2 linked regions of the Caenorhabditis elegans genome follow. The protein of the gene in region 1 interacts with the protein of each later gene in a pairwise test. Each region holds a gene or a part of one and is shown in the gene's direction. Other genes may lie near its edges.

Region 1 (6,780 bases):
TGTTTCCTTCTGTGCGCTTTTTCCTTCTTTTTTTTCTTGTCATCCAAATTTCGTTGTTCTCAGATTTTTTTTTCTGAAACTGGTTGAAATATGAAATTCTCGAAAAACAGGTTTTTTGAATAATATTCTTGAAACTGCGATAGTTGAATCAATTTGGAGCTCGGTCATTGTATTTCTTTATTTTAAAAAAGTTTAAAATGTATTTGTGCAGCATTTTATATTGTGAGCACGACAAAATACAATTTTTTTAACCCATATAATAAACGCCTAATTAAACACCACAATATTTATCAAAGAGTGATAATTTAATTAACATTGAGTTCCAGACGCTGCGACGCCGAGAAGTTGGGAAAAAAAATTAATTTTAGCTGAAAATGAGCTTTTTTTCCAGAATTTTCAATACGTCTCATTACAAAATTCGATAATTTTTGTGCAATTTTGGGTCTAAAAAATAAAAGCCTCAGATTTTGGTGCTTAACCTTCAATGTTTAATAAAATATAAATACCCTCAATATTTGATTCATTTAGATTGTAATAGGTATTTGCACAATTAACCGTTTTCTGAAAATTAAAATTCTGGTGTCAAACTGTAACATTTTTTTAAATATGATATATAACATTGACGCTGCAAAAACTGAAAACTAAAGGTCTATCCTGGCCTCATCGTATTATATGTACTTACAATGCAGGGCTAGACTATTTTGAATTTGGCTATCACAACTGGAACTCTTTCAGTATAAGTATAATTTTGTTATTTTTAAATTACACAACATGATCTTGGCCCAAATGTTTTTGAAGTTGATGGTTCCACATCTAATTCTGACAAACATTCCAATCCACAAAAGTTAATCCAAGAACTGCCGAAAAACATGCAACTCTGCTTCGTTTTCTATTCAGACGCCTTCCGAAGACACATTACATCAAAAATGTTGGCGGAAAAAGGCCAACGCAAGAAGACGAAGATGTGGTAGATAGAGTAAGATAGAGTAAGTTTTTGGAGCAAGGCTCCCGACAAAGTCAGTCACAATAAAAAAGAAGATGTGGAGGAATAGGATGAGGAGGAGCGGTGACTCCTCTCCATCACTCCAACAAATCTAAACTCTTCTACTCGGCAATTCTATCAAAGAAGGAGATGCGCATAAGTCAATCAGCTACAAGTGCACCCATACATGCACACGCATGCTTCCTAAAATCACAACTAATTGCGCAAGACAAGACGATGAGAGAGTACGGCACACACGCAACCGCTTCTTCGTTTTCTTTTCCCCGCCGACCGCTTTTCTCTTTTTGCCCCTGTTTTGTCCTCCATTTTCCGATTTTTTTTTCTATTTTCAAATCGATTAGGAACTGAGTGATAGTGTGGATAATTGCTTCCAATGTCGCAGAAGAACGGGTGATGAGACGATATATAAAGAGCAAAACTTGCATGCTTTCATCTTGATTTTTGTTGCGTTTCTTTCAAATTTCTAGAATATAACTTCGTATATTTGCTCTAGTGCATTATGCTACTGCCAATATCTAAAAAAAAGTATGGTTTCCTTTTTTTTGAAATTTGTTTCCCAATCGCAAACTATGTGTAATTTTTTAATTCATATAGTTTTCCTAAATAGTGAAGCTTTTTTTTTGTTTTTATCATGTTTCACATTGACATCAACATGTAAATAAATACAGTTTTTCAGTATACGAAACCACGTAAAATAATTAACACCACATTTTTTGTCACAATGTTGGAAATTCAACTGACATTAATTTTTTTTTGAATTATTTTTAGATGCATTGCGATAATGGTTTGGTATGCCATTCTACTTGTACCAATCCGAAATGTTTGATATTGCACTAATTTTCCTTGTATCATTGCTTTTGTAGTGAATACTATCAGCTTTTTTCAACTAATCAATCAGAGAAACGAGTTTATAAGAGTTGTGTCACTTGGTGTCAGAGTGTCCCATTTTGGTTTGATCTACGTAGATCTACGGAATGTGCGGGGATCTAGACGCAGACTTCTCGACAGATTTTTTTGGCATTTTTGAAGGTGTGCTGACGTCGCCTTTTTTGTAAATCAAATCGTAATGAGACCGCTTGCCATCACGTGCTGTGTTAGTAATAATGGTAATTTTAAAAATTCATATGAAAGCATGGAACTACTTGAAAAATACAGTAACACAAGTTTTGTATTGTATAATATATATAACATTACATTTATTCATTTCAAATCCATGAAAGTAGAAATATCTTTCCCCCGCACTGACAATCATATTTGTAGCCGTTTTGTAGGCGCCCCTCCTCTTTTTTTGCGTTTTTATTTTATTTTTTTCTCTCAACACATCTTCAATCTTTATATTCCTATTTGAAAACGTCTCCAGGGAACCTCGCTCATCGGTCTCCCAACCAACCAATTTCCAGTTTTGTTCGGCTCGCAACTTCTTCTATTTCTTCTGTCCCCCCCCCCCCCCCCCCCCCCATCATCCTAAACTTCTTTCCCTCCTTCTTAACATCGGCTTCCGTTTTCCTCCTGTTTCCATTCTCATATTCAATTTGCGGACGGACTTTTGGTCAGTCCACTTTCCTTAAAAGTCCTTTTAGCTACACTACCTACACTTTTCTCTGCATTTGCTCTTTTGTTCAATACTCCCTTATCCGTTTTTCCTCCAGGAAAATGATCAGAAGCAAAAATATTTGGTTTTAGTGTTTAAAATTGCGTTGCCGCATGAGTTATTCATTTCTTCTTTCATTTCCTCTCTCCCCCATCTACTTGGCCCATTGTTCCTCATCATTTCTCATCATCACTCAATTATTTTTCCTCGTTTGCTCTTTTTTCATAGTGTGCCCTTTTTGTCATTTTTAGCAGCTTAATCACTGAGTTTTCAGCGAACCTCACCTCTTCACCCAACGTTTTCCAACGTCACCACCAGTTTCAATACGATATCCAAATTGTCCTGATATCGGACAATTGCTTCGTAGTATACTGGCTCATGGTAGCTGATATACTCGATATGCAGTTGAAGGTTTGATACGGTTTTGAGTGAGCGTTTTTTTTCAGAAATGTTTAACAAGTGTTTATTGTCCATTTAGAAACGGAGTAGCATCAGTAGGAAAGTTGTTTAGGGGCTGAAAAGTCAGAATATGAAACTAACAATTTTCTTCAAAGTGCACAAAAAATCTTTGTTAATTTACAGTTGAAAGCATAGTAATTTTTAAAATGAATTTCTAATAGTGTACCTAAAACATGGACTAAAATATCAATACATTCGGAAAATTGTTGAAAATGTTATCTCTTTTTCTGCTGATTTTCAGCATAAATAACATTCTGGCACTACTTCAACTTTTGTTATTTTTCCACCTAGGGCTGGCCATCTGGACGTCCGCCCACATGGAGTCACCATGGGTGGCAAAATAAGGTGGAAATTTTTTTTATCACAGGAATTAGGGGAGCTTACATCCTGACATTTTCTGGGTTCCGCTGCTTACTATAGAAACGCACGCATTATCACAATGAGACGCGGAACACAAAAAAATGTCGGGATATACGCTCCCATAAATCCACGAATGTTCAAAACCGAACGCCCGATTGTCCGAAAATCAGTACATTCGGAAAGGCCAGTCCTCTGGATTACCAGCCCTATCTTAACCTAACAAAAAATTGGTTTTGAAACCTCATGGCCTTTTCTGCGTGAAAATAGTTTTAAAGTCCAAATTTTCTTTCTGATAAAATGTTGTCTTGCGTAGTATCATGTAAATATTTTAATTTTCATTATTTTCATCTGCACGAAAACATTTCGGTCAAGTAGAAAGTGCAAAAAAGATGTATTATTACGGAAACGCAATCCAGTAATATTATTAATAAAAAACATTTACAAACCAGAGGCTCTGTACTTTATTAAAATTGACATTCATTCAGTTTTTTTAAACATGTTATGTTTATAACAAGGAATTTGTAATCGACATACGTCCTCCCGTACTAACAGCGATTTGCCGAGTGTCTAATACCACTTTGTTTTTGATTATTGTTTAAAATTCACTTTCTTCAAAACACCCATGTTTTTTATTGCTGAAACCATCTAACATCTTGTTTTACTTCTCTAACCGTTTTTCTTTAATACTTTTTTACTAACATTTCCACCATTTCATCATTATTTCATATTTTACAGAGGTGAGGATATAATGCCTGTGCGGAAAAAGCATGGTCCGTACGATATCATCGCCGACGATGTCTACGACTGCCGTATTCCACTCCATAACGAACTCGCTTATCAGCATGGTATTCATTTCGAAGCAAAGGTTTGTGAAAAGATGTATTCGAATGTTTGTACAACGCTAATCTTGTTTAAACGAACATTGAATATTCTGAAAAGCCCGGAGGGTGTAGATTAGATTGTCTTCAAGTTTGGTCCTAACGCGTTTGCAAATTTAATCATAGTGGGAAGTTTAGTTTTTTTTTTCTTTCAAAAAGAAAACAAAAACAAAACTACTGGATTTAATCCAAAAAGGGTTTTTGCAGTATGTCGGAAGCATGGAAATTCCTAGACCCGGGACGAGAATCGAGATTGTGGCGGCGATGCGACGAGTTCGAGTGAGTTTTTTTTATAAAAACTCGCAAATAGAGATATATTCAAAATGAGCTGAAATTTGCAATTGAAAATTAGTAGTATAATCTAAAATTTGTATAATTACATGGTTGCAACATTATTATTAGTAGTGTAGAAAATAGAATCGTAATACTTTGAAAGATCATAATTTATTGAATTTTTTACAAATTCTACACTTGCTAGTGTTTTCTTCTCTACAATTTTTTCGTTTGTTAAATCAATCAATATTAAAGTCAGTAAATGCTAGGCGTTGATTGAATAATCTGCCACACTGCAAAAAAGCTGATACTTTTTTACCTAAAACCTATAGTCGTATCTAAAACTTTTTTTGTTGATTAAGGAAACATAAGCAATCAATATTTGAACAAGCATATCATCGATGTGAATTTGAATTTGACCGTGTCATATTTGTTGATTTTGACTGACTTTTTCTTAAACAACCAAATTGAAGTGTTTGAAGAAAACGCTTTTGAAAATCTATTTTCCTAATTCCTTGATTATTGAATAAAACCATTTTCAGTACGAATTCAAAGCTCGTGGTATCAAAAAACGCCCGGTCGACATTACCGTATCCGTCGATGGTGTCAAAGTTGTTCTTCAGCGGAAGAAACAGAAAGAGAAAGGTCTCTCTTGGGATGAATCTAAATTACTTGTCATGTTTCACCCAATATACAGGTATTGTTAAATTTCTGTAAAATTGTTATTGTAAAAATTTTGAAGGATATTCTACGTGTCACATGATTCTCAAGATCTTCAAATATTTTCCTACATTGCACGGGATGGAGCTAGTAACACATTTAAATGCAATGTATTTAAGTGTTCTAAAAAGGTTAGTCATTATTTTCAATATTATTATTATTATTATTGAAGTAGTACTGTGATCAAATTTTTTTTTAGAAAGAGCGTCGAAAAAGTTAAAATGTTGAATTTTTTGTATATGGTGAAACTATCGAATTTGAAAATTTATGTGGTTTTCAATTAAGTATGTATTACATGAATTTTTTTTGAATAATATTTATAGAAATGAATACCGATGTTTAATCACTATACAATTTCCCAACGCGTTGTTAATCAGTTCCCACAGGTGTTACATTTCCGAAACTTCCCATTTTCGAGAAGTGGCGGAAAAACTGATTTTGTTCACAATTTAGAATATTATCCGACTCAAAAATTTTTTTTTCATATTGGCGATACTACTCTTGTAATTCTGTAAATGCCCCTCAATTTGAAAAATTGAATTGTCTACACACTTGTCCACACTACCCAAACATTTTTCTACTATCAAGAAAATGCAATTTTCATTTAAAAAACTACAGACCTTGCTGAAGATTTCGTGATTTAAGATGATAATAAGCTCTAAGACTCATTCAAATTTTTTGTGGCAATAAGTATTTTTCAAACGTTTTGAACAAAAATTATCGAAGAAAGAACAAATGATAATCAGAATTACCATGCAATCCTAAGTATTTTCACAGATTATACTTCATTTGAAAGCAAGAAAATAAAATGTATGGATCAAAAAAGCAATATTTTGGCTTAAAAAAAAGAACAAAAATCAATAACATTGTTTTCTGCCATCGTAAATTACACAACATCATTCACTGGCTTCCACTTCCAGGTTACACTCGGCCTATCCTAGACGTTTTTGTTGGGTTCACATAACGTGCTCAATGTTCTTCATGTTTTTGAACAGACAGACAGCGAAAACTTTTCGGAGCTCATCAACGAAACATACATGTTCTTTATCGTGTTGGCGGAGACCAGTTGTCTGCTTTTCAAAATCTAGTTTTTTTACTTTTTCAAGTATCGTGTTCGCAGACCTTGTATGAAAAGTATGAAAAGTAGCTGCAAGTTTTGGTGCCCAGCATATCTGACGTTTTTAGTGCAAAATAAGGTTTTTGGGAGACTTATGTGTGGATTATTGAAACGCCTTAAAATTGAATTTTTTTTAATTGATTTCTTTTTTATATTAACATGATTAACATGTTTTTTCTTCACTTTTAAACCAGCCGTAAGTCGAATGAAATTTGAACAAAAAATAAAATTTTGAAATTTTTCTCAGAGAAAAATACAAACTCAAAAAATTAATTTTAAAATAATATCCATTAGTACACACTTATCGATTTTTACAAGCTGTTCACAATTTCGATTTTTTTTCTTGCAAGAAAACCCATTTTGAAAAAGTAATTTCAAA
Region 2 (6,780 bases), on another chromosome or scaffold:
AAAAACATGTGCATCTCATCACAGGCAATTAAAATTTAGGGTGTGTCCCTTAGAATTGATCTCACAATTGCAAAATAGTTGAACTTCGAGCTCTTTAGAATTTTTATTTCGAAGATCCATTTCTACACTGATTTGCATAATTCCTGCAGCTCAGCTTCTCCTCCATTCAACTAATGTCATTTTGATGTGAGACCCTCGACCCTCTTTTTCTATACGCCGATGCCGCGCGCAGAAGCACAATTTATATGTCTCTATTTCTATGGTTGAGAAATAGACGACGACGGACATCGGCATTTTCGTTGACTTTATAGTACTGGTTTTCTTTTTATTTTTATGTGTTCTTTTCCTTCTGTATCCTTTGCCGACAACTATAAATTGATTCATCCGACTCCATATATTAATTTCTGGTAATTTTAAAACAAATTCATTTTTATAGTTTGAATATGCAAGCAACCGGTCAGTTCTATCACAATATTGATACTATTTAACTAAAGTAAAAGTAAAAGATATGAGTCATCATTGTTTCGTCATCCACTTTTAATTTTCTCTCGTCGGCTCTTGTTTAACTATAGAAGCACCACACCCATTTTGGTCGAATAAATTGAAATAGTGATGTGGAAATAAATAGTTAGGAGATGTAACCACTTCCATTGAGGTGGCTGATGATTTTATGTCCTCGTTGGACGTTGTTTGTGGCGTTGATCTTGTATTTTCTTCTGGACTTCTTGGCTGAAATATTGAGTTCAGATCATATAGGAAGTCATTCAAAGCCACCTTTAACTCGACACAGTAACGACGTTTGAATCTGTAAAGCCAGTTTGCATCAAAAAATTTTGCAATATCCGGTATTTCTGGATGCAACTGATAGGCAACATATTGAGCATACTCCTTGATCCATGGATTCGTTAGACGCTCGCCTTTATTTTGGCGTCTCACGATTTCTTTATTGACTTGTAAATCCACATCAGCATATTCCTTTCGACTCGTTCGCAATATTCTTCGTTCTACAAAAAAACAAGTTTAAGCTCATCAATCAATGGATTAGAAAAAAAACTGACTCTTCAGAAAGTTAGTCGTCTTCATCTTTGTTACATCCAACGCCGACAGAATTATCGTCTTATCCTTTTTGTCGGCGTGGCGGCGTCCACTAAAGTATCTAAAAAACGAAAGATAAATTATCTAGGTCATATAGAAGATGTAGAAGTCCTCACCGGATTCCATGTTTCTTCCGAAACAAATTAATCCACCGATCAGAGACATCGAAGCCGCAAATTCTGCGAATCTCACGCCTCATCCATTCGTCTCCTTAAAACACTTTTTTTTCTATTTAAGTTTTCAAATTTGATTCAAATATATTAGTTGATCCTTTTATCAACTTTAGGTATTCTATCTGTGCTTCGATATACTACGGTCTAATTTGGAAGCCATATATGAACATTATAATTACCCATATTGTGCAGGGTATATGTTCACATAATATAAAAGGCCTGTTCAGTTCAAAAAGTATACTCCAAAATCATTGGAAAGTCATTTTATGAATGAAAACTGTCGTATCTCATCACTCAAATTTTCACACCTCGTTAGTTACAGTTCTATTCATTCCGGTAACCCTATTGTGTTGGGACATAAGATTCCTGATGGGACCACAAAAAAGTGGTGGCGTGTTTGCTACCCAACACAAATACCCTTGACTAGAGAAAGGGACTACGCAATCGTCGCGCAATCTGCCCCTTTCTCAACAGCAACAACCAAATTGGCTTGTTGAGAGGAAAAACAGTAGGTGGGATTACACACACTTTCTCTATCTGCCTAATATCTCTGTATCCTTTTCTGCTATTTTTTCGGCGCGAAATTTGAATTTGAATATCATAATTTCGTGGCAAGATCTAACTCCATTTTAAAGGTAGACGATTATTTTATCGGTGGGTCTCGCCAAGATCTCCGGAATTTTTATTGTGACCGAACCCAAATTTCATGATTTTTCAAAAATAATTTTAAGTGAATGTATAATAATGAATAGAAAAAGTCTGAATGTTCAGAACCTAGTCGGGTCGACTGAATTTTTGGAAAACATTTAGCGAACGTACATCACCCAAATTGTTAAAATAAACAGAGAAACATTCTATTCGTACCTATTCAGCCTAAATCAACCATTACATCCGTCTCCCAGTTTTTCCATTCCCACCTTCTAAATTGTATCATATATATATATATATATAAAATCTCACCTATATGTTGAGTACTCTGTCCATTGCTATCGCACATCTTCACCTCTTCATTATAGACATTAAATAGTTTCTGCTCTAACTCGCCTTCTTCAATACGACAGTTCGACGAGCTAGATGTAGAAGATGTTGAAGGACTCGAAGTAGATGTAGTAGTTGCCATTCAACGCAAATACACAAAATGAACTATTCTCTTGTCTTTTTTCTTCTTAGTTTTACCCCCGTTCAAACGCCTCCTTCCGATTCATCTTGTTGGTTGCAAACCATTTTTACCTTTCGTGCGCCGGTTTTGGAACTGCGGAACACGTAGTGTACTGTGTGGCGCCCTCCCTGTATAGTTATACACTCGACACTGCATATTTACATTGCGTTTCTTCGGTTTTCTGAAGGTCAAACCGATTGACTTCATCTCTGTTTCTTCTTTTTTTTTCAACCGAGGGGTTCGTGGCTGGCCTTCGAGTACTTTTGAACCATGGACAGCATAGTTTTCCATGTTGTTTTTACGGCCTTGAAAATTGAAGAATAGCAGCAAAAACGGTCACCTCTCGCATTGTAAACACCTGTTCTTTCGAATCAAAATGGGAATAAAACCACGAAGGAGTTTAATTAAAAGTGCTATTCAAGCTGGAACAAGAAATATTTTCGGTCCAAAAAATTGAAATCATTCAGAAAACCAACAATATAACAAGAAAAATTTAGGTTTTGAGTTTGTTTTGAAAGCTTAACAATTTTTTGTTTTCAAATATTAATTTGTTAAAAGAGTGATTTTTAACAATTATTATTTATTGGAATACATTGATGTACCTTTTCTATTTCTTATATATTCTCTTCAAATATATCAAAGATCATTCAAAATAATAAAATTAAATTTCAGATGAGCTCTAGTAGTAGTGATGAAAATGAAACAACGATACACAGAACAGGATCAAATACCGGTGGAAGTGGAATCTACTCACAACCTCGAGCAGGATCATCAAAAAGAACATCGAATGTGCGACATGATGTTAGTGATGTAGATGATGAAGAAGAGCATTATGCAAGATTTCGCGAAGATACGGTAAGGATTGTTGGAAAAAACAGATTTTCGATGTTGGTAAAAGGCCAAGTTTTGACTTTTTGAGGAATTTGAGCAATTTTTGTACCTGTACAATGGTCTTCTAAGTAAAAAAAATCGGAGCGTAAAAAATTAGAATATAAAAGTATTTTTTAAGCTTTTTAACTATTTTTTCTGAAAATACAATATTTAAAAGTTTAATTACAGGCGATCGAGGTTGACGATGCTATAACAGTTCTTCTTTCATCTCTACATTTCGAACACAAACGTGATATTGTTCCGACCGATGAAGATGATAATAAACTTCGAGAACTTCACGAAAAGATTTTTGCATTGATAACGAGTGAATCTGATGTTAACAGGTAAATCCGAAATTTTCAGAATATTTTTCAAAAAATCGTTTAATTTTAGAAAAAGACGGCTGAAAAAAGCTCTTCCTGCGTCAAACTGTGTTAGAGAACAAGTATATTATCTTCGAAGGAAACCATCAACACCACCAGCTTCTTATTATCATCGACTAAATGCAGCTCTTCACACAATCGTTAAGGAATCATTTGGAGAAGAATATCGAAAAGTTGCTACAGTATTAGGACTTGTTGAAGCGCTTGCAGAAGTTTTAATTCTTGAAGTTCACACATTTGGAATCAATGAGACCAATCCTGGAGAGCATCGAAATATTCGAAAACTTATTGCCAATGCTCTTACGAATTTAACATACGGTCAAATTCACTCTAAACGCCGGCTATGCTCATATGATGGATTCATTCGATGCGTTGTTCGAATTGTGATCGAATCTCCAAATATAACTCAAGTATACGCTGGACTAATCAGAAATCTCTCATGGAACGCCGATTCAGGAATGAGTGAAGCTCTTCAACCAACAGTTCATGCACTTTCAATTGCTGCAGTACATGCACATACACATAGATTCGATGTTACAGCAACATTATCTGCTTTGTGGAATCTTGCTGGTCACTCAGTAGAGAATAAACGAACTATTTGTGATACTCCGAATTGTTTAAAAGTATTAGCCAGCCTTCTATCTCCTGATGCAAGATTCACGTCACTTGTTGATTCAGCTACTGGAATTCTGAAGTATGTATCACAATATCTCGCGAATACTTCCACGCATTTAGAGGTTAGTTTTTGATTTGTTTTTGTTGAAAAATGCAAGTGAGGTTTCAAAGTTATCTTTTTTTTTCATAAATAGAAAGAAAAAAATCGAAAAAAATTTCATGGCGAGTCAAAATTTTGCAAAAAAAAATCCAAATCTTGCTAAATCTTTCGTCAACTTGCGCTTGTTTCCAATTTTGGACATTTCTGAATATCGACTTAAAATGTGCCTAAATAAATTAACGAGAGATAAAAGTCAGAAAAATATGCCACAAAAAGTGATTTCTTCAACAGGGATTTTAAAAGAAAATTTTGGAAAAATTTTACCCTTTTTTTCACCTTTTTGTAAATTTTTTGAGAAGTAAGTAGGTTTTTTTTTTGAGAAATTACGAAATTCGATGGTTTTGTGTCAGTTGAAGTTTTTAGGCAAAAGAACCCACAAACACTTCCCTTTTGCACATAAAATTGATCAAACTGAACAAATATCATTATTTCAATTAATCCAATAAAATTTCAGCTAAGAAGCTTGCTCATCACTCGAATGCTCACTTTGCTCAAGAGTGCCTCGTTCACTTGTGTTACAAATACTCTAGGAGCTATTGCAAACCTAATTGTCAAAGATCCCCACATGCAGCAAATGATTCGGCAGGATATGGCTGCAGTACAGCAACTCAACGTACTCCGAAACTCGAATCGTGATGATATTCGGACAGCAGTGAAGTCTGTGCTGAATACTCTTAATCAACCGTGTAGTCATCGTTATGGTGATATGTCACATTCTGTTGGAGGAGGAGCCACAGGGATGCAAATGCTTTCGGAGCCACAACTTCAGATGCAAACATCTCATCATGCTTATCATGGAACTGCGTCACCAAGATTACTATCACTGAGAGCAACTCGAGCATCACCTGGAAAATATATACAACCACAGGCTCAACAACAGTTGATACAGACTCCACAAGTTGATCAAAGATCTAGTAGTCTGCCAAGACATTTTGCCGTTCAACGAAATGGATTTGTGATGGCACAGTCCTACAATCAACAAATGGATCAACATCAGCAACAACAAATGATCTATCAATTGCAGCAACAACAACAAATTATGGTAACGATTTTCCAGCGTTTTTTTCTGTAATTTTCTCTTAGTTTCAGACGGAGGATCAAGCGCAAATGGAACATCATCAACAAATCATGTACCTTCAGCAGCAACAACAACAATTTCATCAAATTCAACAACAGCAACAAATGCAAAAAGCTCAGGAAGCTGATCCAGTTCCTCCTACGGATGACGATCTAGATATTCCCACATCTACCGTAATGGGAACACGAAGTAACAGTGAAAGAAGTCTCGGCTCGATGAATCCTGGAAGTGTTATGACAAACTGGAATTCTTCTCTGGATACTGCAGCCAACAGTTCTCGTGCTCTTTCTCCTGTATCATACAATGATATTCCAGCTTCTCCAACAATGTGTGCTCAGGTGTTCAATTTACCTAAATCCACTGAATCGGAACATCATCAATTGACGTCTCAACAGCAGAACACTACACATTATAGCAGTGGATCAGCTAACACTATGACTCGGAGTGATGGTGCAACTACTGTGCCAATGGATAACATTATTACACCAACTTATGCTATTTTGAATCCAATATTGGTACACGAACAGACACCGAACGGGACAGTTCCACGAAAGACTTCAGAAGAGTTGGATAGTCCTGATGATGTTCTCCCAGGTCCATCTCTTGAGGAGGAAGAAGGTGATTATGCTATAATAGGAGGTGCCGCACAAAAGACAGATGACGAGCTTTTGACTCGTTCTATTCAATCTGAAATGCCTACTTCGTCGTCTACTCCGAAGATGAAAGTCTCGCCTCGCCTTAATGGATTCTTCTCTCCAACTCAGAAAACAACATCGTCTCCTGCATGGTCTCATCCAGATACCTCACCGATTCCAAAGTCATCTTCTCATCGAACTCAACCTAATCGTCGTCAAGATGCTTCTGATGCAGATCGTCTTTTAATGGAATCAATAATGTCAGAGATGCCAAAAAGTCGAATTATATCTCCACGACTTGCTGGTACACAACAATATCTTGAACCCGAGCCAGAGAGAAGAAGTCATTCAAAAAACGAGGAAGCCGATCGCCGCGACGCATTCACCGCATCGCATGAGCCCAGCGATCATAACGGCATTGATGTGGCAAGAGGCTCAGACTGGTCTCCACAACAACAATTACATCGAATGGAGTCATTGGAAAGCCAAGCTAGTAGTGAAGATAGTTTTGGATTAACTGCTGAAGAACCAAATTCATCAACTTCTGGTGCTGCTGCAAACACTATGAGATTTGACGATGAGATCGATGCATCTCTTCCAATGGATTGTGTC

What was found.
Region 2: the proteins of dyc-1 (region 1) and apr-1 interact in a two-hybrid assay, tested with the Caenorhabditis elegans proteins (one large-scale study listed by BioGRID).

Annotation. Positions count from the first base shown.
Region 1 is NC_003284.9:14,046,667-14,053,446, forward strand, and holds the start of dyc-1 (Dystrophin-like protein 1), read left to right. Parts: upstream 1-2,868; 5' UTR 2,869-3,005; intron 3,006-3,161; exon of another isoform or gene 3,162-3,182; intron 3,183-4,148; 5' UTR 4,149-4,161; coding exon 4,162-4,278; intron 4,279-4,498; coding exon 4,499-4,570; intron 4,571-5,106; coding exon 5,107-5,261; intron 5,262-5,306; coding exon 5,307-5,415; intron 5,416-6,780. UniProt on the Caenorhabditis elegans protein: Together with dys-1 and hlh-1, participates in a common muscular function.
Region 2 is NC_003279.8:8,046,944-8,053,723, forward strand, and holds the start of apr-1 (Adenomatous polyposis coli protein-related protein 1), read left to right. Parts: upstream 1-3,099; coding exon 3,100-3,282; intron 3,283-3,486; coding exon 3,487-3,641; intron 3,642-3,690; coding exon 3,691-4,417; intron 4,418-4,909; coding exon 4,910-5,497; intron 5,498-5,538; coding exon 5,539-6,780. Other genes in the region: K04G2.7 (HTH CENPB-type domain-containing protein), read right to left, coding at 538-729, 775-1,004, 1,059-1,156, 1,212-1,305, 2,229-2,388. UniProt on the Caenorhabditis elegans protein: Has a role in endoderm cell specification and pharyngeal development. Required for the migration of epithelial cells, organization of the anterior seam cells and ceh-13 expression during embryo morphogenesis.